Linked DNA regions of Xenopus tropicalis. The protein of the gene in region 2 interacts with the protein of the main gene of each other region in a pairwise test. Links are inferred from orthologs where the notes say so. Each region holds a gene or a part of one and is shown on either strand. Other genes may lie near its edges. The genes, in order: pdzd4 and apip.

Region 1 (16,045 bases), on a different chromosome or scaffold from region 2:
AAAGAAAATATACTTTCTTTTTCGCTAGGTTAGGACTGACGCAAGGACACTGCCTTGATGGGGCGCGTCAGCTTATGCATACTTTGTACAAACCATGTAACTAAACGTGTCTCTTTTCACTAAAATGCAGACATTTTTTCTTCAGTGTGTGCAAAATGGGTTTTTAATTTTCTCTTGAAGCTATATAATGGAGTGCTGGGGTAATGTGTATAGTATATATTAATATATTATATATATATATATATCTAGGGCAGTGCTACTTGCTTTGAAATAAAACTTTCTCCATGCGCTCCTATCCAACAACACAACCAATTGCAGTCCCCTCCTATCCTGGTCTCTGTACAACTCCTCGGGTAACGGCGGCTCACGAACAGCAATGACAAACAAGAACCATTTTTCCTGACTTCCAGATCCAATAATGCTTTCTCTTTAGATAAATATCCAGAGTGTTTATATTTCCTGCCCTCTCGGCACTCTCCTTTGTGTATAAATGGAATTACTGGATTACAATGGAAAGCAGGAGTCGGTAGCGATGTGCTGTTTGGGTTCATTCTGGGGAATCTGTATATAAAGTGACACTCTGAGTGTTGCCGACTGTGCTTTCCCCACAATCATTGTGCTCTTATCTGTATTCCCTCCCTGTCACTCACATCTGCGGATTCTCCCTCCAGTGTCAGTCAGTCATGTTTAAAGGGTTTTATCTGTGTTTAACCCAAGCTGTCAAAGCAGTATCTGCAGGTGGCACAGAGCATTGTCTATGCCCTCTGTACACTGTTTGCACTCATTAACAGGCTTAATTTTGTGACACACAATGTCCCAACAAAGGCTGGTGTGTGACATTATAACACAACAAAAACCTAGGATTCAGTGTTCAAGGATATATATATATATATAAATATATATAAATATACACAATATGAGTATACAATATGGAGTCTTTTCCTGGGGTTAAAACAAATATATATAAGTATATACAGTACAATCCCATAGCAACCATCAGCTCTTACTTAGGAAAAAATTGTAAGAAACATGAAAGCAAATGCTTTAGTGGACCGAGGCAAATTGTGCTTCTTTTACTATTTTAATATCTTCTACATTGACTTTTGGATCAGATTTCAGTAAGGGCTTCCCGTTCCTCATAACAAGGTTATAAATATACAAAATATAGTTACATTTAAGAAAAGAAATACAATTAACAGCCATCACAAATGTTACCCCAATGGCCTTCAAACTTAGCTTCCAGGAATATCTAGTACTGTTAATAAGCACTCTCACTCTGTCTGACCTTTATTAAGTACCAATGGCTCGTCTATTGGTGGCAGTCCCACAATTTGGAAAGCAGTAATAAAGTAACAATAGAGGTCTGTATAGAGGGAAGGCAAAGCAAAGGATGGGTAGGGCCAATGTGTATGACATAGAATTGTTAGTAGTGATAGCTAAATATTAATTTGTGATCTATCACTCAAGGCTAGAATTGTCCCGTACACACTCAGATTTAAGCTACCAATTTGGGTTCTTCGGACTCAACTGGTCCTACGATGGCTCTGAGTGATATCTGTCAGGTTTGCAAATCCGTCGGATGAGGAACACATCAGATCGTCCTTGACTGATGGTTCTCTGTAGGCCTCCAGTTGTTGCCCCTATGGCAGATCTGTCCCTGTATGGCCACCTTTACTGAATTTTGAGATCAAGTATCTTTCTATTGTGCCTCTAGCTAAGGCAGGTATACAGAGGAGGCCCACTTAAAGCTGCTGGATAGTGATCCACCTAGGCAAAGCCACCTACCTAATTTATGTTCTGCATTTACCAGAACATGTGCAGTGCAGAATTGCCATGTTTTATTTCCCATAAATCAGAATTTTTCCCCAGAATTCCAGTCCTGTTGAAGTCACCAGTGGGTCTTGCACCTGATGCCGATGCATCATAAATAACGAGGACACACTCTGCTGTAAATAGGCTGCAATTGTAGTTTCCCATATCTGATTGGCGACATTTCCAAGGTTTGGCGCTGCCACACCAATTGACACAGGGCAATAAGAGAACTCTGGAGCTATCAGCTCTGTTCCTCTTCATCAATAGGTGCAGCTGCACTCAGTTTGGAGAGGGAGGCAGGAAGGGCTGAGTGGGTCTGAGCACAACTATAAGGAAGTGCGAGGGCCACTCTTTTGCAGGTACTTTTATTGCATGGGTTTTATACACAACTGACTGTGGGGAAATTTGCACAACTGTACTTGCTATCTTATATGAACCCTATCATATTATGGATGCCCATTGCAAATAGTGGCATAGAATCAGTGGCAAAATGCAAGGCATGCTGGGAAATGCATGAATGTGCACAATAAATATTTTTGTAGCATTTAAAATAAATAAATAGAACCTTACATCAATTCTATAGGAAACAATAGCTATCTTGCTTGTGCTCTTGTAATGCCAATTTTACTGCTCTCTTTTTAGTGTGCTGTATTGTTTCTGTTGCATGGCAGAAATGTGGGGGGTAATTGAATTAGTAGTGGAGAATACACCTGCTTTTCACTGAACGATAAAGCTATTATTTGCCACTAAAAATAACAACAGGATCCCCTGCCATTGGCAGCTGTAACCTCTTCAGTGCTGGAGATTCGAGAGATGTTGCTAAGCAAAGGCTGCCAAAAGCAGATATCTGCTGGAGAGCGCCAGTCCTGAGATTTCAGCACAATGGACAGCACCTTGGCCCTGCTGTGTCTGTGTGTGTTTGTGTGTGTATATATATATATGCAGTCTATATACTGTGCTATAGAGAGGCTCACTGCCGTACCGGCGTGCTGTCCATGGCTGAATGGAAACAAATGGAAAAGTGCTGGTAGTAATACAACACGGATACAGGAATGCCCTTTGTACAGATGGGAATTAGGATAAACTGCATTAGAGGAGACTTCAAAGCTGCCTGATGTTTGTAATCAATAATTGTTCTATTAACCCCCCGCATGTGCTGCAAATATTACTCTATATACATAATATAGCACAATACAGATACAGCATGGGTGCCTGGTTGTTTTAAAGGCAAAAATGAAGGATGATAGATTTGTTAACCAACAGGTGTATAACTGCAGGCTGGGCATACAGTACATATATACATATACATACATATATACATATATATATATGTATATATTTATATATATATATATATATATACAAATATTTAATCAAATAAGTGCCTTTCTGAAGTGCAGAGATAAAATGCAATTGACTCGACTGTGTTTCTTCTATCAAACTGTGCTCCTGAAGCTGGCCGGACAGCATTACTAATCACAGGCCATTTCATGCATTGGTGAACAACTCTATATAGTCAGATAGATACATGTATATAGGAGATATCAGTGTGTGTCTTCTGCTGCTGATCTTGACAGACGCCCCATGAGGGGAGGAAATCTAACAGAAGTCGGATGGGATGATTTATCGAGATGAGCAGCAGTGCAATGCATTGTTCAACAGCCACAGTTCTATATTTTCCCAGCAAGCCACGGTTGAGGCCACTGTGTATGGGCAGCAAGGAACAAGCCCTGCAAGTCAAGCTGCACATCTACTTTACATTTATAGAGGGAGACCAGGGATGGTTTATTAAGGAAGGATAAAATATTGGCAGTGGCAGCCCATGAGCAGATGGGCCGCTTACCCAGCATCAGTAGTTCTCTTAGTGGCATAAAGATGAAAGATCATATTATATTGTTAGGAAATATTTTAGGCATGTATAGATCAAGGAATAGCCCCTCAGCTGTACAACTTTCTCTGATAAAATATACAACTCACAAATATTGGACACTGGAGCCCCGTCCTCGTATTGCAAGGGCCACTGCTTCTGTAACTCTGGGTTTATGGGGCACAAGCATAATGGGTGGTGATGCAGTGCCATCATCTGGGCACACAAAAAAAAAAGACCACCGCATATTACTCCAGGTTTGCTCTTGCCTATCCTAAAGCAGGCCTATGGTACATAGGGCCCAGTGGATGTCTTGCAAAACAGGCCAGGACCCCTGAAATGCTTTTGCTATGAGCAATAGTATCTATGGCATGGTACTAATTCTTATCTACCCATCCAGTTTGTACAGTATCAACAGCAAGCGGTTTTCCTAGTCCTGTAACCCATAGTAACCATTCAGCAGATAGCTTGGTTGAGTGCAGTTTGGAATAATTATAGGAAACATCTGGTTGCTGTTGGTTACCAAAATGAGACAAACTATGCCCATGTTACTACGTAACCCCCTCCCCCTCACACGGACCATGATATAAATATTATATATACTGTAATGGTTAGAATTGGGGCGGGTGGCCTTTAGAATGGGTTGGCAGTTACCATGGGCCAAGGATAGGTGCTCCCAGAGCTCTGGGTGTGTGATTATGATAGTAAGTACATCTTGTCTGTATAAGAGAAGTATCCAGCTGGGTACAGTAGGGAGACATCACAAGCCTGTGGATTAGGTGTCAGATGTTTGTTATTGGTATGCGGAACGAGGGCAGCCTATAATCCAGCAGTTATTATTATGTATTAGGAACCCTCTGTAACATGTATGAATAGAAAGGGGGGGTCACCGCTGCTATAAGTTGCTTTCTGTCACACTTCACACAAGCACTCCTCACTTCTCCTGCCCTTCTCATCTCAATTTCCCCCATTCCTATTGATCCGGCTCCCTATTCCAGTCACACACACAGGAGTCTCTGCTCCAGTACAGAAATCACAAGATTCATCATTACCGGCTGCTGCTGCCAGTGGAGCCGCACAGAAGATTTAAGGTGGCTTTATCTGGATAATTAAACCCTCTCCATCCTGCCGGCGGAAAAACCTTCCCAGATGGATCAAAGGAGAGATGAGATGGGAAAAGGTGCAGTGAGAGAGAGATGGGGGGTATCATTGTCATAAAAAGGGATGTGGGGGGAGGGAAAGGGCATTTGATGAAGAAAAGGCTGGAAAAATTGATTCTATGAAGGGGTAGAAGGGGAAGAAGTATATGCAGGGGAACAGACTGCTATAATGAGAAGGAAGCCTTACTGGCCCAAACCTACACTAGAAAGGGTAATATTAAGCCATATTATAAAGACATGCCTGGTACCTAGAGATGTACTGATATAAGAGCTTAAATCATGAAAGCTCTCTGGATACAGAGGGACCATTCAGAATAACCTGCCAGCAGCTGAGGGTAAAAAAGGACACAAAAACCTCCTACCTAGGTTCTAGTTCCACTGAAGGATGGCAGAGAGAAAACAACACATTAAACCACCATGGTGGGAGCTGTAGTGTCACAGCACCACTGCAGATGGTTGGGTTTAATCAGGCCCCATAACTGTGGGGCAGGGGAGAGGGGGCCTGGTAAGAGTCTGTATTCCAGTCACAACCTCCCCCCTGTCTGCACCCACACCATCTGACCAATGCAGGTATGGAGGAAAATGGTGAGTGTGCAGCTATGTGATGTGGATGGGGGGCTCTAAAATCATATTTTTGTGAGGAGCCCATGAAAATAAAGTTACACCTCTGATTTAATAAGGGGTCAGTAATGTAATTAGAGAAACATAGGTTTGCCACCTCTTTCATTTAAAAACTAGCACATAATACAGCCTTGAATGTTATGGTTACTTAGCAAACAATCTATACATAACCCCCTGTTGCAAAATATAAGGATATTACATGTCACCAATGAGTTCCATGACCATATAAAAGCAGATACAGGCTAAAACACCAGCTAATTACATTTACAGGACATGGGATTTATAAGTATTTGGTTTTGAAGGGGGTGAGGTAGGGGACGTGGGAGGCCATTAGTTTTGAAGGACACAAGAATTCAGTATTTAAAGGGTTGAGGAATAGCTGTGTAGCCTTGTGCAAACAGGAGGCATTACATTCCCAAGGGAGAGTCCTTTTTGGCCAAGGAAAGTCCCTTGTCGGGCTGTTGCGTACATAGAATACACAACTAGAGGGGTGAGTACTGGTAGGGCTGCCGCTCTCCGGCTGGAAACAGCCCCAAACTGCCTCCCCTTCTTTGTCTGCAAACTGTAAATAGACCCCAGGTTGTCACTGAGCTATCAAAGCAAATCAGAACATAATTAGGAATCTACTCCAGCGGCCGAGCACTTGGTCAAAGATTCCTTTGCTCCCTCCCCTGTTCTAGAGTGGGGGGCTAGGAATGCCAGTGGTGATGTATAAACATGCAGAGCAACATGCAGATAGTGTCCTGCTGGCAGCACTTGTTCATATATGTCCCCAACATATGCACCCCCCGCCTCCGGTAACTGAACTCCCTACCCTGTGCCCAGCACACATGGCAGGTAAACAAATGCAAAACAAACATTGCTACCCACATCTAAACAAACTGGCACCAATACTCAAAACCCCCCATAGCAGCAAACACTGCCCCCCACTCACCCTTACACAAACATTGCTGCCACCCACAGCCATAATGACCATTCTCGACAGTGAACACACTCCAGCATACACACAGACTAACCCCCACACTCCAGCCTCCCCCCTACATAGACACACAATAAACCCCCCAACTCCAGCATCCCCCCTACACTTACACACACTAACCCCCACACTCCAGCCTCCCCCCTACATATACACACAATTACCCCCCCCAACTCCAACATCCCCCCTACACATACACACAATAACCCCCACACTCCAGCATCCTCCCTAAACATACTGTATACACAATAACCCCCACACTCCAGCATCCCCCCTACACATACACATACTAACCCCCACACTCCAGCATCCCCCCTACACATACACAAACTAACCCCCCCAACTACAGCATCCCCCCTACACATACACACACTAACCCCCACACTCCAGCATCCCCCCTACACATACACAAACTAACCCCCCCAACTACAGCATCCCCCCTACACATACACACACTAACCCCCACACTCCAGCATCCCCCCTACACATACACAAACTAACCCCCCCAACTACAGCATCCCCCCTACACATACACACACTAACCCCCACACTTCAGAATCCCCCCTACACATACACACACTAACCCCCACACTTCAGAATCCCCCCTACACATACACACACTAACCCCCACACTCCAGGATCCCCCCTACACATACACACAATAACCCCCACACTCCAGAATCCCCCCTAGACATGCATACACTAACCCCCCCAACTCCAGCATCCCCCCTACACATACACACACTAACTCCCACACTCCAGCATCCCCCCTACACATACACACACTAACCCCCACACTCCAGCACCCCCCCTACACATACACACAATAACCCCCACACTCCAGCATCCTCCCTAAACATATACATAATAACCCCCACACTCCAGCATCCCCCCTAAACATACACACAATAACCCCCACACTCCAGCATCCCCCCCTACACATACACAAACTAACCCCCCCAACTCCAGCATCCCCCCTACACATACACACACTAACCCCCACACTCCAGCATCCCCCCCTAGACATGCATACACTAACCCCCACACTCCAGCATCCCCCCCTACACATACACACAATAACCCCCACAGTCCAGCATCCCCCCTACACATACACACAATAACCCCTCCCCAAACTAACCCGAAACCCAAATATTTCCCTCTAAACACACATTTATGATACAAAAATGTAATGACGCACACAGGTCCTGGACTCATACGCCTAAACACTCCATTCATTTACTTGCAAACACTGCCCCACAACACACATTTCAGCACCACACACCCAACCATTTCACCCCAACGCACACAACTCTTGCATCTAATCTTTCACCCTATACACACACAAAACAATAATGGCCACTCAACAATCATTGCCTCTTATATACACAAATACAACTCCTGCTGGGAACCACAGATGTGAATCTTATTCATGGGGGTACAGATGTGCATTGTGTACACAAAGACAGGGTATACAACTAGACACATATAGATGAGAATGTCCTAACACACATATTTGCATTACACACACACATTGGGAAGCATAATATTCACATAGAGATGTGAATGGTGTGACACAGAAATAAACAGATGTATATTCATACAGAGATTTCATACACAAATGCACAGCTCTGCCATGTATGCACATGTGCATTATACTGTATATGCAGTTATGCTTTACACAACACAGACACGTATACCTCATATAGACACAAAGTACACATGCCTAGCAGGCTAGCTGAAGCTGTATCTCAATAAAGCAGCCACAATACCTAATTTCTACCCCAAATACCAATCTGATGCACTCGAGAAAGGTGGCAGAAAATGGAGGGAGTTTGCTCTAAGCAGAAAATGTCTGGGATATGTGTTAGAGCTCTTGCATTGGGGCAGCGTTACTGCCTCCTGCACCGTCTATAAGAGATGTACTATGGGCTGGAGCTTACACTCCTGTCTGTGTGTGCTGTAAGTATGATACACTATGTTGTACAGGTCTGGTAGAAGACTAAATATATGTATGGTAACAGCAATACATGAACATGAATGTGCTTAAGTGTATGTGTCTGTATGTGTTTGTGCTTCTGTTTGGCATATCCCATTGACTTTAGCCATGTCTCATCCTCATTAATAATACAGAACCTGTATCATACTCTTGGCAATAATTTTGCCATTGGTTTTTCGTATTAAAGTTGCCATATGGGCTCTACATAGGGCACGTGCGTTTTTGCGAGTGTACACGTGCTTGGCATTGTGGACCAGGATAGTGCCATAAATGGTTGGTGCATCTCCAGTACCTATTTTCTGATTGCTTCAACCACCAGTCTGTCCTCCCACTATTTAACTCTCACCTTGCCCACTTTTTTCCTATTTTTTTCCGTAATCATTGCCGCCATCATCCTTTTCTCTGATTTTCCTGCCAGTGTTTCCTTGTCATTTTATTTCTTATTGGCTCTCACTGTTCTGAATGCTTTTGCCACCCTAAACTCCCAAACTCCAGTGGAGAGGTTCCCAAACTATAGGGATGAACACACCCAGGGGAGTATGGGATAAGGGGGTGAGGTATCTTCGGAATTGCTGTTTGGGCACTCCTGGAACTTCAGCGGAATGACTATCTCTCTCTTGTTTCCTTATATTTGCGACTATGTTATGTGCCAAGGGTCCCACACAGCCCCCTGTCAGGGCTCCATCCAAACTCCACATTCTACCTACTTGTAGTTGCCATTTCTCTGTCAGACTGAACTTACATCCTTGACAACCTCTCATATCCATAACCTTCTCAATGCCAAATTCTCAACATCATCATCCACATTTCATACTCTGTGCTCATTTGATTCCCATTTCTACATGTAGCCATTATCTATTCAATTATGTAAACTCCTCAACCCCATACATTTTCACATTTCTTTCAAAGAGCAAACACATACATATTATTTATTTCAACTTCATATTTTTCCCACTGAAGCCACTTTATCTTCTACACCATCCCTGTTATAAGTTTGAGACCCATTTTCGCCCTTAGCCAACCTCAGCCTCCATCTTTCCCCAAAACTATCTCTTTTATTTCCTTGCCTCTTTTCTTCTCCATGCTTTTGCCACCATCAGACCATGTCTTCTACCCCTTCCCAGATTTACCCTCTTCTCTGCTTAATTCCCCATTCCTCCATCCTGAGCAAATCTCTATACATTCCCAATCCTTCCTTGTTCTTTATTTCTACCTTCTTATACCCTCTCCTACATCGACCTTTGAGCCCACGTTACTGTACATTATCTTGTGCCACCCCCAGATAGTTAACATACACCCCTCTTTTTACCTGCCACCCACTCCATTCCTGTTTTTCCCTTTCATACCTGCAGCATCACTTTGTAATGCTCCTCTGGTTTGCGAACCACACACATGTTACATCCCATGTTAGCTTCAAGGGGGTGCAGGTCTACGAGGGAGGGGGCTGGTCACCCCCAGTTTTGCCTGGATTCTCAGAAATGTGCACTCAGTGCCTCTTCTGTAGCATCCAAAAGGTGTTTACAGAAGGAAAGGAGCCCTAGATCAGAAGTCGTAAGCCCCTTGATTATCCATCCAGTGAAGGCAGTTAATCCATGGGAGGGAGTGAATAAAGGTGGGGGGGAAGCCTTGGTTTGGTATGGAAGAGACATGCAGCTGTCCCCCACATCTTGCAAAAATGGGGTGCCACGTCTCTTCCTGCTCCCACTATAAAGAAGTCTTTTCTCCAGGCTGCCTTTTTCTCTTGCCCAAATAATGGGGTACCAGCAAGGCATCTACACTGGTTTCCTTCAAATATGTTTCTTAAAATATTAGGCTGCTGGTCTTCAGCAAGAATTTGTCTCCATGTTCCCCCTGCATGCAGATAGCTGTGAAGGCACCTGTGCCCAATTCTCTGCCTGCCGCAGAACCCACACGCATGCCTTCTCCTCCTCGCTGGCTCCAGCCGAGCCTCAGCACTGCTAGGATGGAGGGAGGGAGGAAGGGAGGTGCAGTGAGTGAGAGAAGGAGGAAGGGAGGGAGGGAGAGAGAGAGGGAAAGGTAGCTAATAAATATGGATGGTCTTTGGTGTAACACTCACAGCCAATCTGTTAGACAGGCACAAAACTGCTGAGAGAATTTTATCAGCAGCCCTGAGCTTTGGCCATGTAAGACATGGAGGGAGGGGTGGCAGGAAGCACAACAGGAGCTACAGGGTACAGGAATGCAATAGGGGGACATGGAGGCTATTACACAGCACTGGTTCATATTGGGTTAAAGTCATCTGGGTGACTGGAAAGAATCAGAATGGACAGGTGAGAAATATATGCAATGAGACTAGCGTTCCTTGACTCATCAGTCAATTTAACCCTTTACATGACAGATAAACCTCCGAGTCTGCACATCATTCAGCTGTAAACTGCCCTTGGGTTCCATTGGATTCTGTCCCTATGCAACGGTCTGTTGATTTTATTGCAGAGAATTCAGTTCTTCACACCATTCTGCCATTTTTAATTATAGTTAATCGCTTTACCACTGAAGCAGTTACTTTATTGGAGAGGCCACCTCGAGCAGAGGAGCACCATATCTATGTGCTTTATGGCTAACGAGTCATTCATTTGCGTGCATTCTGCATGGCTACGCAGAAAGTATTGGCCAGTTTGTGGCTGGTATCTACAGGCAGTTAGCCAAGCAAGTAAGTCTGATATGACATACTCTGTTGTTACCTTTATGAGTGGCCTCTTTATTTAAGGGGAATAAACAATCTCATTATATATGAAGTCCTAGACAACCTGACACCTTAATGTGTAACGCCAGTTAGCCATGGCCGTCAGCTTAAGGGATGAGCAGAAACTGTCAGCTGGAATGTTTGACTAATAATTGTGGTAAAACTCCCTAGCAACCAATGAGCAGAGTAATTTCAAAGCAAGCATTTTATTCTTCCTATATTCATCGGGCACAGTTGTGGCAGATGCAAGTCAGTACAGCTATAATGATGCTGGAATTTGTAGGGGGGGCATTGCATTATGGGTAAAAAACATGCTAATTTGTGTCTCAAGTTTGCACACTGCCCTGTGTTTCTTCTGGAGAAGAAAAACCCTAAATGGCCAGGAATTGTTGAACTGAATCCTGGATTCGGTGCATCCCTTATATTGATATATGCTGAGACTTGCAGTCCACAAACTGCGAGGGACCCAGGCCCGGATTTGTGGTGAGGCAAAGGCCTGGGCCTAGGGCGCCACATATTTAGGGGCGACATTCCGCCCAAGCCACAATGAAATTTGCTCAAATATGTGGCAATGGGGATCTGATACACAGAAACTTCAGCGCGTCCTTTCCCCACTGCTAAATGAGTTAAAGGGGTGCGCATGTGTGGGGGGGTGGGTTGGGCGCACAAATGGGGTGACCCTGGGGTGCCATGTAATCAAATCCGACCCTGGTGGAACCTAAAGTTAAAGCGACACTAGCATTATCGTATTTACATCTACAAGTGCAGCGGGTAACTTGCACTTTTTCTGGCAGTTTTTCTATAAAGGAACTGCACTTTAAAGAAAATGCACTCCTTACTGTATAGTTACACTCATCGCTGCTCACTTCTTCCTGACTTTCATTTCAAACAGGCACTGCTGCACCGCCACTTCCAGTGATGAAGATGATAGCTTCATGGTTCCCTTAGCACCCTGTGTTAAAAGACACAGCACACTTGCACCAAAATAATATGGCATACACTTCACTCACGCGGTGCTTATCAGAAATGACGCCAGGCAAACTTGGAAAATATTTAGTGGGATTGTGCCTGATTTACAATGACAAACACACGTGGTTGTGCCAAAAGAATTGCCGTTTGCATCTGCAATGATGGCAGAATTGTGGGTAAAACAACAATTGCACTCAGAGTTGTACTTTGCTTGGCAACTGAATGCATCTTATAGTCTAATGAACAAGAGTAATTACCTGGGGGTACAGGGGTATCTGAGGAGCTCAAGTCATATGAATAAATACAAATATGCAGATAAATGGGGACGGCATGTACATTTTTTCCTTGCAGCTGTAGGGGGGCACCTTTTACCTTATTTGCCCCCCTGGCCAGCATATAACGTGCAACTGCTGCAGAGAAATGACTGCCACTTCAGGAGTGTTGGCACAATGCATGGTGCAGCATTTTTTCAATTCTGGGGCTTAACTTCTATGGAGGCTGCCCAATTAAAATTCTGTGCCACAAAGGAAGCCTGGTCGGGGTTAAGCTATGGTGACCTCTATAGGCACAAGATGTGATTCAGTCATAGTCATACCAGTCTGGTCATCCGATTCTAGCTATGCCATATATTTGTTTTGTTGGAGATAACCACAGCCTCCTGTAACTTTGGTCTGGATCCCCATAGCAACCTTCTACAAGGGTGGGACCCCTGGCTTAGTCTGGGTGACTCTGGGAGAATCTGATTTCCAGCACTACTTCACCTCCTTGATGTCCAGAATGGTGGGAAACTCAACTTCCTTCAGAACTATCAATGGGAAAACAGGTGCTGGTACATTGGAGCCCAATCATTTCAGTGGCCCACTGAGAGCCACTGAATTAGGAATAAAATGTTAGTCTTCTAAACATCCAGTACTTGCATTCAACAGCTATACAATATCTGCATTTTTTGTGTGCAACATTTCTCCCAACATAAACACAACCTAATATCTGTATTATTGTGTATGAAGCCTTTAGGCAGACTCCAGTGCACTTTTATTTTGCACGGCACACTCCCTGAGGGGCAGGAGAAGACAACAAAAGTGAAAACAATCAAGGGATGTACCTTCCCATTATCTGCAGAGGTTTTCCATGATTATAAAAATATAACAGCAGCACGCCAGTAGGGCAGAATATAATGGGGTCACGCTAATTGCTCTGTAGGAAATAATCAAAAACCAGATGACCTGGTAGGGTATGGGGAGATGTTCCCCTGTAAGAAGCCAATGACAAAGTACATCTTGTTTGCATGTATAAAAGAGAAGTGTTAAACCTCTCTCCCTATAGATTCCTATTGCATTATTTAGAAGAGCTCAGCAGGAGGCTCCAAGTTATGTCATGTCTTGCGGTTCCTCTCTCTGGCTCAGGCTGATTGGGTCTGCCTTGTGGGGGCTGTGCTGTGATGTTTGGGTAATGTGCTGTGTAAGAGGTCTTTATTGTGACAGTCTAATGAGGTGTGAGACAACGAGACAACTCACTTCTAATTCTTTTGAAGGGACACAGATCTAAAAGCATATTGTTCTTTATTATTAACAATTGTGAGCCTTCCGTTGGCTAGGGAGGGAGAAACTGAGGCAGGGCAGGGAATGATGGGTCATATTTATATCCAGCACAGATAAGCAGATATGGTCATTTGGAGTATACTGGGAAGGGACATCTATGTTCTTAACAGGACACTGGGATCTACCATAAGTAACCAAGAAGACACAGCTATTGTATTGGGGGAGAGAAGTTCAAATATGCCTCTTGACTGAGCAGGCAGCAGCTAGGGGTGATTGTTACTGGGACAGAATGAAGAGAAATAAACAATGACAGGTAATATCTGTCAGGGGACACTGAGAGTCATAGTTCAACAGCTGGATCTCCACTAGTTAGGCACTTCTATCTAGAATAAATACTGCCCCCACCATTAGTGAAAAATGACCCTATAAATGTGTGGAGGGGGAGATGGAAAATTGAGTGGGAGGGGTAAGATATATTGCATGGATGGAGAGGGAATACTGTGTATTTAAGGGGGGTGAGAGCTATGTCCAGCAACAACCCAGGGATAGGGAGATTGATTATATCAAAACCACAAAGAATATATTGTTTATCCCATAGGTCCCTTGCTAAGGAACCCCCTCTATTATCTTATCAGTAACATCTAGCTTGATGGAAATGAGGCAAATATGGGTGAGGGCACATTGCACTCAATCAGGTATATGTGAGGCACCCTTGGGAGAAAACCTCCATCAGATATCCACTTGGCAAGACATATAAGACCCCCGGTGACCAAGTAAGCCAATGAAAAGCTGCTTTATCATAAAAAGGCCTCTTACTGGCAATGCCTCCCCTTGCTGGATTAATTAAAACGCCATTAAACCTACATTCTTTTTATTCCACAGTTGGGTTTGTCTATAACAATAAGAGCACATTCAGTAAGGATGTTATTGGCTTATTTGGATATTGTAGGCTTGCCTAGGCTGCTATTGCCTCTCAGCAGAGTCCAGGCAGAGGGCCCTATTGCAGATGCTAAGTTCTATTCTGTGGGTCGCAAAGGGGTCGGGTGCATGGACAGTGGGTGGGATATTGGCGGATTGTTGGTGTCTTGGATATAATGGGCCTGATTCACTAAAGGGCGATAAAAATGATCGCACGCTTTTTCGCGTTAAAAAACGCAAAAAACGCAAAATAATCACCATAGTATTATCGCGTGCGAAAAATCGCCATTTTCGCATGCGGTATTTCTCACACTAGTTTTACCGTTTTGCGTTAATTTCTGCGCTGAAAAGAATATGATTGCATGATTCACTATAACTTTTGCGCGCTAAATATCGCATTCGGCTATGTGAAAATTAACACCTACTACAGGCAGGCGAAAAATTATACAAAAGTACAGTAAATGATTTTTTGCAATAAAATATGGACTTACAGTGTTATTTATTCAAGTCTGTGTTTCCCCCAGAGTGACGCAGCCGCCAGTTTGCAGCGAAATGTTCATTTTTAATACAGTAATTTTCTGCAAGTATTGGCGTGTATGGCTAACATGGCGTGCATTCATTTGCGCGACTATTTATATTTGGCTACAAGTGATGAAATGTTTCGCCAGGCATGGATTCGCAGCGAATTTTTGGACATGCGGTGAATTTTTTTCGCGGCGGATTTTTTCATGCGTTTCTCAAAACAATCCGCCAATGGCAAAACGCATGAAAAAATTTGCCACGCAAAAATTCACCGCACATCCAAAAATTGATAGTGCCAAAAAATAATAGTCACGGGCAACAATTTTTTTGCCCGCACAACATTTTTGCCGTTTCGTGGATCTTTTGAAAGATTTGCTAATTTTTCACTAAAGATAACCAGAACACATTTGCTCATCACTAGTGGCTACTATTTATAAGCATCTACTATTTATATGCTACCATTTATATGTGGCTAATATTTATATACACCATTTATATGCGGCAACAATTTTTATACACTATTTCTATGCTACCATTCAAATGCGGCGACTATTCGCGTATTTAGCACATGTACTGGCAAATACCGCATTGAAATAGCCTTTCGCGAGTTAAATAACACATACAATATCGCGCGTAAAAAAGCACGAGTATGCTTATAGTGAATCGTGCGAAAAATCGCAAAAATTAAGCCGCGGTAAAAATTTTAGCGCACAATAAAAATAGCGCACGTTTTATCGCCCTTTAGTGAATCAGGCCCCATATGCGGCGATTATTCGCGTATTTAGCGCATGTACCGGCAAATACCGCATTGAAATAGCCTTTCGCGAGTTAAATAACGCATGCAATATCGCGCGTAAAAAAGCGCGAGTATGCTTATAGTGAATCGTGCAAAAAATCGCAAAAATTAAGCCGCGGTAAAAATTTTAGCGCACAATAAAAATAGCGCACGTTTTATCGCCCTT
Region 2 (15,999 bases):
GCATTACCCAGAGATAAACAAGCAACACTGCAAGCCCCACCCACTTCTTTACCATGGGGAAGAGAGCAGCCAGGAGAGTAACAAAGGGTAATTACTGAGACTCAAGAGGATAAATACAAATAGGACATCAGTTTGCATTACCCATAGATAAACAGTAAACACTGCAAGCCCCACCCACTTCATAACCATGGGGAGGAGAGCAGCCAGGAGAGTAACATAAAGGGTAATAACAGACTCAAGAGGATAAATACAAATGTTTCATTTAATAGGTTTTACCATTTATGGAATTTGGTTTTTACTGGGAATGCTAAATGTATTGGAGTGTACCAAGCAAAATGCCTTCTGATGTTTTGCTTCCCCTTTAACCAAGGAAGGTTATTTCTCTTGCAAAAACAGGGTTTATAGCGTGTGTGTCCTTCGCAAGACCCTCTAAACGAGTATACACACATTGGGTGCCACCGGGGAATACATCCTATCAAGCACTTCACACCTCCAGCATCACTTCTTATTGGTGTGTAATGGGCTTTTTATACACTTAAAGGGCCAGTCACGCCATAAAAGTCAAAGGATATTTACAGTACCATGTTACATCGGTTTGTCAGCTGCAGATACATTATTTACTGACCACCAACGGCGATCTTTTGTGAGAGAATTGCACTTTTAATGCTAGATGTCTAGAGAGAGTCGTAAAGGGCATCTGACCTCTCACTAAAATCAATGTATTGTAACAGCGTCAGCAAATGTGGGTCCCACAGCCCAACTGTCCCTTGCCCCTTGGCTATTATTATTATTATCTGAAGACAACGCTCTTCAAAAGTGTTGATATTTAACCGAATATGGCACCCCCGTCTTCTTGTTGGTGTTACTGGCCCTTTTACATGGAAATCACGAGCAGTACTGGCATGGCTGGTTAGGCTAGCTGCAGTTTATGCTGTGCAACAGTGCCCTCTGCTGGCTATGCAGAAGATCTACAAGTGTTGGGTAAAAATGAATGTATTTATACCATTAAATGTTTCCCTACAAGGGTACAGTGTACACAGAACTTTCTTTCATTGCGTATGGGTTGGAGCTGCCATGCTCCCCTTAGGCTGCACAGTATGAGAGCACAGTGGGTGTTGGTGCTCAGCACTGCTTTATGTGGCACTGAGCACCAACACCCCAGTGAAATGAATGTTTTGATTAGGTAACTAAACTCACCTTCTTTTTTCATCCACTTAACGATGTTTCCCTCCTCCATGGTGGGGGATAGGGCAGGCATGAAGACCTGGACGCCGGGCACCCCTAAGGGGGGGGGAGAGAGAATTTGGTCAGTTCAGCACATTCAGGCCTATATATAGGTTCTTACACCTGACAGCAGAGCAAGGCACTGACAGGCTGAATAAACATGAGCATCCCTGTGTAATAATCACATCACCGTGCCTCCGGGCACCTTCACGGCCTACAGTAAGTGGCGCCGCCACTCGCTTCATGTAAATGCCAACTGGGTGACAAACATGGATTTTTTGCTAACTCTATAAACAGACTCTGCCCCCCCAGCACCTCCATTTACCACTGGGATTAACTGAGATAAGAGTGAGGTTTGAGCTTTGCCAACGCTCCCTAGCAGTGGCATTAAGAAGCGAAAGGGGCCGAGGCCCTGGGACCAGCGTGCCAAGTGTTACACCTGCTCAGGAGAAACCGTGTAATGGGATTAGCAGGATTACATGGGGACCTGATTTAGGAGGTCAGAAGCAGAAGATCTCCTAAGCACGGCACACGTTACACACACATGCAGCCGGCCGTGCCCCCCTCCCCGTGTCCGTGCACCCCATGTGCCGTAGCCAAACATCACACGGATTTGCCCCAGTTCTTCCTGTCCTGTAGGAAGAAGCCCTGATGTTGGCTAAGCACACTGCATACACAGACATTTTTGTCTGATGTGGTTTATTTCCCCTTTAATGCTTCCCAAGTCCAGCATAGGAATCTTCCCGTTGCTGTAATCGGGTTATGGCTGAATGACTCCTGCCTCCTGCCACCTGCCTGCGGGCCTGGGGGGGGGGGCCTGTTGTTGGATCGGGTTGAATGATTGGCCGTGACAGCAACGAGACATTTCCTGGAAGGAACACACACTTGTCACCTTGGTACGAATGCACCCATCTCTGCCTGTGTGGGTGCCAACGCTGGGCAACAGAGTGGGCACATAGACACCCAACCAAGTGGCCAAGCTGCACCCATGCATTGTGCACTAACCACTTTACCTTATGCATCTACAGTATTGTGTGTTTGTCTATGGGAACGTGCATGGATTTTATATCTATCTGTATATATGTGTGTGCATTTATAAAAGAACGGGGGAGCAGAAGAGAGGCCGGAGGATGTAAACAGATGAAGAGTCGGCAGATAATCTGTTATCTCCTCACCATTTTACCATGACACTATTCCTGGCCCCCTCTTGAGGGCTGACCTCATTTTATCGGCTTCCCTGCAGGCAGGGGGTAAAGCAGCCACAAGGTTGTAAATCCCGGTCAGCTACTGCCACCTACTGCACATAATGCGCATAGCAGCCAAAAATAAGATGGAACCCCCCTGTGTGCCAGTCTGCAGTCTTACTGGCCTCGGGGTTGGGCACCAAGTCCAATTAGGGCTTGTGGCTCATTAATTAATCTAATCACAATTCTGCAGTTCTGAATCATCAGCTGCTTCCTACATCAAAATAACACCCCCCCCCCAGGCCAGACTACAACCAGAGAGAGCATCAACTAAATAGCATAGATCTGCCTTCTGATTTATATGTCATTTACAAACCAGGGACAATAGCAGGGTGACTGTTACCCCAATGTTTCTATATATCTGTAACCTTGTTATGGGCTAAGGGGGCCCAGCCTGAAGGCCAGTTAGGGGGGGATTTGGTGTGAGTGCTTATTTGTGCCCTGGGTACCCCTGGAACTATAGCGGGGTGACTGTTAGCCCATAACAAGGTTACAGATATATAGAAACATTGGGGTAACAGTCACCCTGCTATAGTTCCTGGGGTACCCAGGGCACAAATAAGCACTCACCCCAAATCCCCCCCTAACTGGCCTTCAGGCTGGGCCCCCTTAGCCCATAACAAGGTTACAGATATATAGAAACATTGGGGTAACAGTCACCCTGCTATAGTTCCAGGGGTACCCAGGGCACAAATAAGCACTCACCCCAAATCCCCCCCTAACTGGCCTTCAGGCTGGGCCCCCTTAGCCCATAACAAGGTTACAGATATATAGAAACATTGGGGTAACAGTCTACCTGCTATAGTTCCAGGGGTACCCAGGGCACAAATAAGCACTCACCCCAAATCCCCCCCTAACTGGCCTTCAGGCTGGGCCCCCTTAGCCCATAACAAGATTACAGATATATAGAAACATTGGGGTAAGGGGGCCCAGCCTGAAGGCCAGTTAGGGGGAGATTTGGGGTGAGTGCTTATTTGTGCCCTGGGTACCCCTGGAACTATAGAGGGGTGACTGTTACCCCAATGTTTCTATATATCTGTAACCTTGTTATGGGCTAAGGGGGCCCAGCCTGAAGGCCAGTTAGGGGGGGATTTGGGGTGAGTGCTTATTAAAAGCCATTAATATCACTTGAACAGACCGACTTTTATGACCATAAAGGGAAGACTAATGATCTCTTTGGCCCATGGTTGCATGCCGCATCTGCCCCTAACCCACCCTGTTTCCCCAGCGGTGGGACACCTTGAAATGAGTGGCCCTAAGTAAATCCACCACTGATGATGATGCTTTTTTATATATATGTATATCAATGGTGTGTAGGCGCCATCTCAGTGCATTGTGCCTGAGTCTGAGCTTTCAGCCAGCGCTACACATTAGAACTGCTTTCAGCTAACCTATTGTTTCTCCTACTCCCATGTAACTGGAGGAGTCCCAAGCCGGACTTGGATTTCTTAGTATTGAGTGCTATTCTGATACCTACTGGGAGCTGCTATCTTGCTCCCTTCCCATTGTTCTGCTGATCGGATGCTGCGGGGGGGGGGGGGGATATCACTCCAACTTGCAGCACAGCAGTAAAGTGTGACTGAAGTTTATCAGAGCACAGGGCACAGTTCACATGGCTGTGGCACCCTGGGAAATAAAGAATATGGCTAGCCCCATGGGAAAAACAGTTTACAATGCAGGATTCTGCTGGAGAAGCTCTATTAACTGATGGGTTTTGAAAAAAACATGGTTTCCCATGACAGTATTCCTTTAATCAGAGTAAATGAGCTCTGTATAAACAACACCCTCCTCTTTTCTTTTACTGATGCTGCTTTCTACTGACTGATAAGGACAAATTCATTATTTAAGTCAAACACTTCTGCTTGTTTAGTAAGGTCATTTTCAGCCTGATTTGGCCACCCACATGCTAGATTAAAACTGGTCCTATAGGTGAGATTGTCACCATTTTCTTTGGAAAAAAAATACTGCCCTTCCTATATGTTTAATCTGTCTTCCCTATTACAGGTATGGGACCTGTTATCCAGAAACCAGTTATCCAGAAAGTTCTGTATTATGGGAAGACCATCTCCCATAGTCTCCATTTTAATCAAATAATTCACTTTTTTTCTTTTTTTAAATAACTTGCTTTTTCTCTGTAATAATAAAACAGTACTTGTACTTGATCCCAACTAAGATATAATTACCCCTTATTGGGGCAGAACAGTCCTATTGGGTTTATTTAATGGTTAAATGATTCCCTTTTCTCTGTAATAATAAAACAGTACCTTGTACTTGATCCCAACTAAGATATAATTACCCCTTATTGGGGCAGAACAGCCCTATTGGGTTTATTTAATGGTTAAATGATTCCCTTTTCTCTGTAATAATAAAACAGTACCTGTACTTGATCCCAACTAAGATATAATTACCCCTTATTGGGGGCAGAACAGCCCTATTGGGTTTATTTAATGGTTAAATGATTCCTTTTTCTCTGTAATAATAAAACAGTACCTGTACTTGATCCCAACTAAGATATAATTACCCCTTATTGGGGGCTGAACAGCCCTATTGGGTTTATTTAATGGTTAAATGATTCCCTTTTCTCTGTAATAATAAAACAGTACCTGTACTTGATCCCAACTAAGATATAATTACCCCTTATTGGGGGCAGAACAGTCCTATTGGGTTTATTTAATGGTTAAATGATTCCCTTTTCTCTGTAATAATAAAACAGTACCTGTACTTGATCCCAACTAAGATATAATTACCCCTTATTGGGGGTAGAACAATCCTAATTGGTGTAACACTTCATTGGCCACAGTTGTTGCCCCACCTGCTTGCACTCTATTACTGCCCTGGTGGTGGTAACTGGTACAAAGCCGACTGCATTGTATTACTGGCCCAAAGCTCATGTTATGGTGTCTCTCACCCTTATGGGGGTATTGTGCATATAGTTTGGTACATTCTCCTGTCCCAGACTCCTCTCTCTCTCTTACAGCTGGGCCAGTGTATAATGTAATGTGTTATCCAGAATGCTCGGGACATGGGGTTTTTCTAGATAAGGGGTCTTTCTGTAATTTTGATCTCCATACCTTAAGTCTACTAAAATATCATTTAAGCATGAAATAAACCCAATAGAATCCCGCACAGAATCAATTTTCAGACCGGGCCCACATTTTTACTTGCTTTGACCCGCAACTGCCTAATCACCACCTGATCTGCTGACCACCATTAAAAAGGAAGTGCGGTTGCTGCAAAGTGGAAGTGACATCATCAGAAGGGGGCGGGGTAGAAAAATGTTTAAAAAAAAAAATGTAATATAAGACAAGAAATATGGAGAAGACCTGCAACCGGAAATCTTACCGGCAGGGTTGTTTAAGTGAAGTTGAACTTTCCCTTTCAGCCCATCAGTTTACCATTAAAGGGGAACTCCGGCTTCCGAACCAGAAGTTGTGAAAGAGCCCCACACGCGCACAGAAACCCCTAATATCCCTATCCCTGTAATCTGTTCCTTCAAGAAGTATAAATAAATACTATTTTATATGCTGAAATCCAGCTGCAAAACAGCTCTTCTCTTTCTGCATCATCTGAAATCCTGGCAGGGGAGGAGGGACTAAAACATTGATGTTACAAATGGTAACAACTTCTCCCCAGCTTACAGGCAGCATGCAGGAACTACATAACCCACAATGCATTGCACTGGGATGTTCCTTTGCTTATTGACATCACGTGTGCAGCAGGGAATTGTGGGATTGGGAGGAGGCAGGCTGAGGACAGGCGACTACGGTTACATTTTATTTGAGTCTCAAAGCAGTCAGCCAATCAGCAAGGGAACAGGGGGCGGGGCTTAGGGGACTGTTCCAAACCAGATTGTTGCATTAAATAGCATGGAAAGGCTGTATGATTTTCAAATTGATTCAAGTTGCTTGAAATGATGTTTATTTGTCAAAAAGCTTGAGTTGTGTTTGGGTGCGGTTCCCCTTTAATAAGTAGTGTTTATAAAACAAGACTGCACATTGAGGCACCCACAGCATTTCCTTGTTAAAGGCATTTGTTGATAATGTTCAGCCCATCCCACCTGTGACCACGGAGCCTTGGGGTTCAAACCCCACCAGAATCACTTTAAAGGGGACCTGTCATCCACACATAAAAAGCTGTATAATAAAAGTCCTTTATGGACCCCAAAATTATTTTTTTAATTAAACCAAACCAAATCTTTTATTAATTAAATCACCCATACCTGTTATAAATGTATTTAAAAATCTGAGCTGTCAATCATACATTGCCTGCCCCGCAGGCAATATATGACCGACAGCTCAGATTTTTAATTACAATTACTTTAACTTTCCATTCAGCACTTCCTAGATATTTTGGGGGGATACAAAGCTTTGCCTTAATAACAGTGATTACAAAATGGCGCCGACCTGCTGGCTGTGACTGTAAACTCCAAGAGCGAAGGGGAAAAAAAAAACCAAATAATTTATACAATAATAATAATAATAATATAATACAGTGTAAGTAAAGTTTATTTTGCTCAACTAACGTGATAGAAAAGGATTTGGAATTATTTCTTAGGGTGACAGGTCCCCTTTACCTCAGGGGCAACTGGGGAACCCCCATGGGGCAACCTCAGGGGCAACCTCACTGGCAACCGGGGAACCCCCATGGGGCAACCTCACTGGCAACCGGGGAACCCCCATGGGGCAACCTCACTGGCAACCGGGGAACCCCCATGGGGCAACCTCACTGGCAACCGGGGAACCCCCATGGGGCAACCTCACTGGCAACCGGGAACCCCATGGGGCAACCTCACTGGCAACTGGGGAACCCCATGGGGCAACCTCACTGGCAACCGGGGAACCCCATGGGGCAACCTCACTGGCAACCGGGGAACCCCCATGGGGCAACCTCACTGGCAACCGGGAACCCCATGGGGCAACCTCACTGGCAACTGGGGAACCCCCATGGGGCAACCTCACTGGCAACTGGGGAACCCCCATGGGGCAACCTCACTGGCAACTGGGGAACCCCCATGGGGCAACCTCACTGGCAACTGGGGAACCCCCATGGGGCAACCTCACTGGCAACTGGGGAACCCCCATGGGGCAACCTCACTGGCAACTGGGGAACCCCCATGGGGCAACCTCACTGGCAACTGGGGAACCCCCATGGGTGAGTGTTTGGGGCAATGGCAGCTACAATAAGCAGCTAGAGATACAAAGGAGCAAGCAAAGCCCCCCCCCCCGGCCCTACTTACCCCTGAGGATCCCGGCTGTGTGTAGGGCCCTCACTCTGCATTCTCCGTTACGACTCCGGAGCCCCCCGACAAATGACCTAATAAACCCCTGACAGCCAAGTCTCAAGGAGGCGGCCATATTGCGGCACCTCCTGGAACCAAGGACCCCCCCGACCTGGGCTGCCTTGTAACCCGCCTGATACAAATAATAAAAAAAAAGCTGCCAGAAATCCTATCGACCAACCCCACAAGCAGCGTTACAAAAGCACCGTTTCCGCTCTGTGAATAGAAATGTCACAGCGCTGCGCTGGGGTCCTAGGGAAACCGGCTGCCCGGTCACCGCCTTATTTAGGATCAGGACCCTGGGATAGCCGTCCATCATACTGCCTGACAGAAAATCACGAATAATATCCTCGGCGGTGCCGCGTAACACTACTGTAACTTTGTGGGAGTAACGCGACGTTATTAGCGTAAAAATTGCGCGTTCGAAAAAAGAACGGAGCTCTATATCTAGCGGAACGGTGAGGACCCCGGTAGGGCTGCCCGTAATTGTGCCTGTCTGATTGCTCTATAGGCAGTGTATGCATTGCACAGTAACACCCCCAGCCCTACACACTGAAGCACATCCCGGGGCTGCCCTGCCTGACAGACATGTATTACTGCAATAGAGACAACTGCAATCAAACAGACAATGCCAAGGTAATGCATGGGCTAATGGCAGGGAGAGGGGCAGCACACAGGGGCAGGTAGGAGTAGTAATACTGAATGCTGCTCCATAAAAGACAATGTAATTCTAAGCAACTTTCCTATAAACATATTTATTGCCCATTTTCACTGGTTTTAAAGTTATTTCTCTACGTAATTGCTACTAAAGGCAGCCTCTGTCTGTTTTATCTTTCCTGCACTGCTGGTTCTGACTGCTGAAACACCTTCGCAGAAACCAGCTAAATAACTGTGGTGCTACATTGTCAGAACCAGAGAACAGAAAGGGGACAAATACTGCTTTCAATAGCAAGTACATTTACACATTTAAAAAAAAATTGACATTTTTAATTACTTCAAATGCAGAAAATTAATTTGGCAGTGATTAATAGAGGAGTTTCTATAAGCAGACAGCGACTAACCCTACATACCAGCTATAGACATTTGCACCAGTTCCACTGATCCATAGGAGTCAGTAGGGTGCACTTGGGTGGCCTTTAGGTTAAAGGGGATATAAACCCTGCTGCACTTCTCAACCAAACTTTATTCAGTTGTTGCTGGACTACAAATCCCAGAATAATGTAACATATAATAAAGGTAGAGGCATGCTGGGAGCTGTAGTCCAGCAACATCAGGGGTTGTATTCTTAAAGGAGACATATCCTATAAAAATTATGAATGTACCAGTGTATTATACTCCTCTAGATATAGAAGGATTGTGCTTAAAAAAGTTGTGACTGATTTATTGAGAAATTCCACAAAAACCCCACTAGTCCCGGCCATCTGTTCCACTTCCTGCTGGCTGAATTTTCTGGATGAGCTGGGGAGCCGGCGGCCCTCCATACACTGCACTGTAGGATAGGAACCAATCAGCAGCTAGGCTAACCTGATAGGGAACTGAAGCCTGTCTGTGCTTGTGTGAGTGCAGGGCTGTGATTGGCTCTCCCCCTCCTACTGTACTTCTGGCAGGGACCGTTAGGACACACCCACCCCTCATTTCACACTGGACGGAGAAGTGATAGGATCTATAGGGAGCTCCAATAAAGGGGCCATTTTTACAGATGGGATTCATTTTTAGCCCAAAGTGAAACCAGCACCGTATATTATTAATAATTGCCTACAAAATAAGCATTTTTCCCAATTATGCAATATGTCTCCTTTAAAGCAATATTGCACAATAAAACATTTCCTAAACTTTCCCCTATATCTTCACCTGCCCCTAACCCGCCCCTTCTCCACCCGTACCCAACCCGGCCTACAGTTTTGCATCTATTTATAGACCCGAGCCTGCCCCACCTGTGACATCACTGAGGGGGGCAGACACGTGCCTATAAAGAGACGCAGCCAGACCCAGAAGTAGGGCTCAGTTAGGATGCGGGTGGGGAGGGAAGAAGAAGAAAGACTGGACCCGCAACCTTTATTTTGATGTTGCGTTGTCACTACTTCAAAGCAAGCGTCTTCTTTAAAATGCAAAAAAATCTCCCAATGAGAATCCCAGCTGATCTGTATAAATCCGGCTCCATGTTCTCTGTTCCTGCAATTGGAGTTGGGAGCATTAAACCCAGTTTCCCAGCACTGAACAAGTCTGCCCTTATCCCCATGTCTGATTCCTGTGCCATATAATGAGGGGAAAATGCCATCATTATCTCTATATATATTTATATTTTTCACATTTTAAAGCAGTCGCTGGCTGCGAAGATTTGGGAAAAAGTTTAGGAAAAATATTATTGTGCAATATTGCTTTAAAGGAAAACTATACCACCAAACAATATAGGTCTCTATAAAATATATTGCATAAATAGCTCATATGTAAAACCCTGCTTCATCTGAAATAAACCATTTTCATTAAAAATATACTAATTTAGTAGTATGTGCCATTGGGTAATCCTAAATAGGAAACTGCCATTTTAAGTACTAAGGGCCGCCCCTGGGATCACAGGAGTCACAGTGCATACAAACAAGCCAAGGCACACATACATGCTAGGTCTCATCAGCCAATGAATGGGCAGAGTTCTGCCTGCTTTGATTTGTAGTCCAGCAACACCTGAGTAAAGTTTGGTTGAGCAGCGCTGTGCAACAGGGTTTACATCCCCTTTAATGTCTGTTGGAACAGGGGCTATAGGTTACAGTGCAGTGAGGGGGCTACAAGGTTACAAAGTGAAAGGATGTGGTGAGAACATACCAAATGGGTCTTGGGTGTTGGGAGAGGCAAGAGCTACATGGAGGGGCCATAGAAATCAGAATTTAAGCTTTAGATGTATTTTTGGGGGGGAAGATAAACCAATACCTAACAATAAAGTACCCTTTATGGCTAGCACTGGCACAGGGTATTATGCAGAAGCTATATTTATATACAGGTATGGGACCTGTTATCCAGAATGCTCGGGACATGAGCTTTTCTGGATAAGCGATCTTTCTGTAATTTGGATCTCTATAACTTAAGTCTGTCAAAAAACATTTAAATATTGAATAAAACCAATAGGATTGTTTTGCCTCCAATCAAGATTAATTATATCTTAGTTGGGACCAAGTACAGGTACTGTTTTATTATTACAGAGAAAAGGGAATCATTTAACCATTAAATAAACCCAATAGGGCTGTTCTGCCCCAATAAGGGGTAATTATATCTTAGTTGGGATCAAGTACAGGTACTGTTTTATTATTACAGAGAAAAGGGAATCATTTAACCATTAAATAAACCCAATAGGGCAGTTCTGCCCCCAATAAGGGGTAATTAGATCTTAGTTGGGATCAAGTACAGGTACTGTTTTATTATTACAGAGAAAAGGGAATCATTTAACCATTAAATAAACCCAATAGGGCTGTTCTGCCCCAATAAGGGGTAATTATATCTTAGTTGGGATCAAGTACAGGTACTGTTTTATTATTACAGAGAAAAGGGAATCATTTAACCATTAAATAAACCCAATAGGGCTGTTCTGCCCCCAATAAGGGGTAATTATATCTTAGTTGGGATCAAGTACAGGTACTGTTTTATTATTACAGAGAAAAGGGAATCATTTAACCATGAGATAAACCCAATAGGGCTGTTCTGCCCCCAATAAGGGGTAATTATATCTTAGTTGGGATCAAGTACAGGTACTGTTTTATTATTACAGAGAAAAGGGAATCATTTAACCATTAAATAAACCCAATAGGGCTGTTCTGCCCCAATAAGGGTTAATTATATCTTAGTTGGGATCAAGTACAGGTACTGTTTTATTATTACAGAGAAAAGTGAATCATTTAACCATGAAATAAACCCAATAGGGCTGTTCTGCCCCCAATAAGGGGTAATTATATCTTAGTTGGGATCAAGTACAGGTACTGTTTTATTATTACAGAGAAAAAAGAAATTATTTTTAAAAGTTATAATTATTTGCTTATAATGGAGTCTATGGGAGATGGCCTTTCCGTAATTCGGAATTTTCTGGATAATGGGTTTCCGGATAAGGGATCCCATATCTGTATTATAAAATATAAATCACTGGCAGTGTCCTCTCTGTCCTTTTCTGTGTGTTAGGATAAAGCACATCCAAGGAATCTGATCCCGGAACTTTGCCGACAGTTCTATAACTTGGGTTGGGTCACAGGAACCGGAGGAGGAATCAGCCTTAAGTACGGGTGAGTTATCATTCCTTGCTGCTTATGGGCAAGTAAAACAAGCACATCATAACATAGCGTGGGCTAGTAACCTATAGCAACCAATCAGGTTTATCACCTAAAGGAGAAGGAAAGGTAAAAATCACTGGGGGTGCCAAATGTTAGGTACCCTCAATGATTGTAATCGCTTTACCTTTACATTCCTTCTCCTTTAAAAACGTGACCTGATTGGTTGCTGTGCGTTAAAGCAATACTGGTTTTACAAAACCCATCAGTTAATAGAGCTTATCCAGCAGAATCCTGCATTGTAATCTGTTTTTCCAACGGGGCTAGCAATATTCTTCATTTCCCAGGGTGCCACAGCCATATGACCTGTGCTCTGATAAACTTCAGTCACACTTTACTGCTGTGCTGCAAGTTGGAGTGATATCCCCCCCCCCTCACCCCCAGCAGCCGATCAGCAGAACAATGGGAAGGGAGCAAGATAGCAGCTCCCAGTAGGTATCAGAATAGCACTCAATAGTAAGAAATCCAAGTCCGGCTTGGGACTCCTCCAGTTACATGGGAGTAGGAGAAACAATAGGTTAGCTGAAAGCAGTTCTAATGTGTAGCGCTGGCTGAAAGCTCAGACTCAGGCACAAGGCACTGAGATGGCGCCTACACACCAATATTACAGCTACAAATACATTTGTTGGTTCAAGAATAAAAGTTTAAATGGCAGAGGGAATTATTTGCTGTGTAACAGTGTCATTTAGAAATAAATAGTACCCCATAAAAATCATGACGGTATCCCTCTAAGAAACATCGTGATTTTTGTTACAGTACCTAAAACAGCAGCTGTCCTATTTTACTTTATGGCTGGGATCCTGGATAAACGAAGGATCACAGCCAGTATCCAAAACGTCAAAGCAGGGTCAACTTATCCTTTATCTGAGAGGCTTATTGTGATTTGCCATACTGCAGCCTGTGGCTAATATAGAAAGCTTAGCTACGGCAGGGACAGCTTTGTGCCTTATGTTACACTCAAATTTCACGCCAATATGGCGGTGAAGTGAAGGGTAAGTTAAATTACAATCTTTTTCAAATTCTGAATCATTACAAACAGAATTCAAGAACGAGCTCTCCTTGCAGTCATATAACAGTTCTACCAGGTTTCACCAGGGGGCGCCATACCAGTATAAATCTGCCTGTGTCTCAAACTGGAAGATCAGCATTGTAACTGGTTCTGAAAGGTGCAAATTCCTGGCGCAGCAATGCGGTCCCCCCTTAGGCTTCTCTTGTTTTGCTATTTGCATTAACAAACCTCCAGGAGATTAATCTGCTACTAGCACACAAAGCGGCCATTAGTTTCCATGAAATCAGTTTACAAAATCTATAGATCAGTAACTGACTCTAAGGGCATGTCCTCATTAGAGCTTTTAAGCACTTTAAAGGGCATCTCAACCCCCAACACAGTAAATGGCACTTTTGTGTTTTTACTGATTTTAGACACATTCATTAGATCTTTTCAACACTTTAAAAAGGGGGCAGGGTGTGAGAAAGTAGCAGGTTTGGACTGGTAATACCAGGTCTTTGGCTTAATAGCTCTTTCTGAAAGTCCCAGAATCAGCAAACTGAGGGTTAACTGACCCTACAGGAAGTGCATAGACAGGGTCACTGATGCTTTCCCCTTTAAAGTGCTTAAAAGCCCTAATGAATATATACCATTAGAGTCAATTAGCAGACATTTTCTTTTTATCCAGACTGGATTCAATGCCCTTTACCTGCTGTATGTTCACACAAACCTTGTGCACCCAGGAGTCACTTAGCTGCTGTAGAATCATTGGTTATGGCAATTAGGATATGTGACACTGTCACAGGCTTATCTGATTCCCATTGTAAGCAGCAGTCCTGCCCTGCTTTATGGCTGAGATTCTAGCTATCTGTATAACAGAGCATTCTGTCACAGTGGCACAGATCCTATCTGATCCCCCCATTGTAAGCAGCAGTCCTGCCCTGCTTTATGGCTGAGATTCTAGCTATCTGTATAACAGAGCATTCTGTCACAGTGGCACAGATCCTATCTGATCCTCCCATTGTAAGCAGCAGTCCTGCCCTGCTTTATGGCTGAGATTCTAGCTATCTGTATAACAGAGCATTCTGTCACAGTGGCACAGATCCTATCTGATCCCCCCCATTGTAAGCAACAGTCCTGCCCTGCTTTATGGCTGAGATTCTAGCTATCTGTATAACAGAAAGTTTTATTCTCTGCCGGTTTCTGGCTGGAGATGACTATTTAACAGAAATGCAAAGAATCCTTTAAATGTCAGCTGACAGTTACAAATGACACGTGCCAGTCTTTTCGTGACCCGCCGTTCCATTTCAGTGCCTGCTGCTGGCTGTAACATTTGCCTGACATTGGATAAGCAGCGCTGCGTGAGTTACTTCCCTCTCGGCCATAGAAAGCTGCCAATAACTTCCTATCTCCAATCAGATGTGTCAGGACGCTGAGGCCCGAAGGGGCGCACAGAGACATTTACAGACATGCCTGTTTAAATGTTACGCTGATATAACCTGTAATATATGATTGTTATTCCACTGGCCGGGGGGAGCCGAGCTCCTCTACCCTCCTCTTTATTTCCTTGTTTTGAGTCAGACATAGAAACATGCAGGAAGTGTTAATGCAACCCTGTCATTGCCTAATGGCCACGTGCCTTGTATGTATGTTTCTCGGATCCCTAATGCATGTCTGGAATCCCAGCCGTAAAGCAAAACACACCTGCTGCATGGATCTTTGCACTATTGTCAGGTGACTGTTGTGACCCGATGCCTTATTACATGTATATTTGAATGAATGAACAGAATTAGTCTCTTTTATTTTGACTTCCTGGTTGCTAGAGTAAAGCTGGCCATACACTTGTAGATTGTAAGCTCTTTTGGGCAGGGCTCTCTTCATCTCTTGTATCGGTTATTGATTGCTTTATATGTTACTCTGTATGTCCAATGTATGAAACCCACTTATTGTACAGCGCTGCGGGATATGTTGGCGCTTTATAAAAAAATGTTAATAATAATAATACACAGCCCCCTATAAGCTTCTGTTCCTGCCCTGCTTGACCAAACGTTACTCAGTTGTTGCTGGACTACAAATCCCAGAATAATGTAACATATAATGAAGGGTGAGGCATGCTGGGAGCTGTAGTCCAGCAACATCAGGGCTGTATTCTTAAAGCAATATTGCACAATAAAACTTTCCCCCAAATCCCCACAGCCAGCGACTGCTTTAAAGTGCAAAAAATCCCTCCAATGAGAATCCCAGCTGATCTGTATAAATCCGGCTCCATGTTCTCTGTTCCTGCAATTGGAGTTGGGAGCATTAGCTGGGAATCAGCATTCTCATTGGTCACTTCTTCTGCATTTATAATGAAGTTTTTTATCAGTAGAATTCTCATTGGTGAATTTTCTTGCATCTATAATTATGTTTTTTGGCAGCTTCTATAGCAAAACTAGGGGGCGCAGTGGGAGAGCATCATGGCTGGGTTTATATCCCCTTTAAAGCTCTAATCGTGGTCCGTTCCTGATCCTGACAAACTTGTTATGACTTTAAATCCCTCTTTGTTTCCCCTTAGGGATGAAATCTACATTGCACCTTCAGGGGTCCAGAAGGAAAGAATTCAGGTAAGGGAACGCCACTGCTGAGACTCGCTTACTATCAGGTGTTGACCGAGGCACAAAAGCCGGCTGGATCGGATTTGCCACAATGCACAAACTGCCAGCCCGGGCCTGCTCACTACCCTTCCGATTGCACCCCACTCATTGTACTGAGGCAGTGTGCCTCTTCTCCCTGCCCCTAGTTCCGGCGCTGGCCCTATGTACGTGCCCCCTGATTTTCTGTCCTGGCAGCAAAAGCTCATTTAGAAGCCTCTGGAGCCGTTGCTGTTCTGTCTGCCCTCTGGCGGGGCAATTAAGGGAACCTGTATCTTCACTGTCACTTCTTTGTTGGCCTCTGCACATTCCTATAAACGCCGTCACT

Evidence for each region.
Region 1: the proteins of apip (region 2) and pdzd4 interact in a two-hybrid assay, tested with the Homo sapiens proteins (2 studies listed by BioGRID and IntAct). The two-hybrid records come from large-scale screens. The link is inferred for Xenopus tropicalis from reciprocal best matches to the Homo sapiens genes APIP and PDZD4.

Annotation. Positions count from the first base shown.
Region 1 is NC_030684.2:26,601,035-26,617,079, reverse strand, and holds the start of pdzd4 (PDZ domain-containing protein 4), read right to left. Parts: upstream 10,317-16,045; 5' UTR 9,839-10,316; coding exon 9,779-9,838; intron 1-9,778.
Region 2 is NC_030680.2:11,176,829-11,192,827, forward strand, and holds the start of apip (methylthioribulose-1-phosphate dehydratase), read left to right. Parts: upstream 1-8,266; 5' UTR 8,267-8,334; coding exon 8,335-8,382; intron 8,383-11,907; coding exon 11,908-12,008; intron 12,009-15,595; coding exon 15,596-15,644; intron 15,645-15,999. Other genes in the region: pdhx (pyruvate dehydrogenase protein X component, mitochondrial), read right to left, coding at 1,198-1,281, 7,705-7,822. UniProt on the Homo sapiens protein: Catalyzes the dehydration of methylthioribulose-1-phosphate (MTRu-1-P) into 2,3-diketo-5-methylthiopentyl-1-phosphate (DK-MTP-1-P).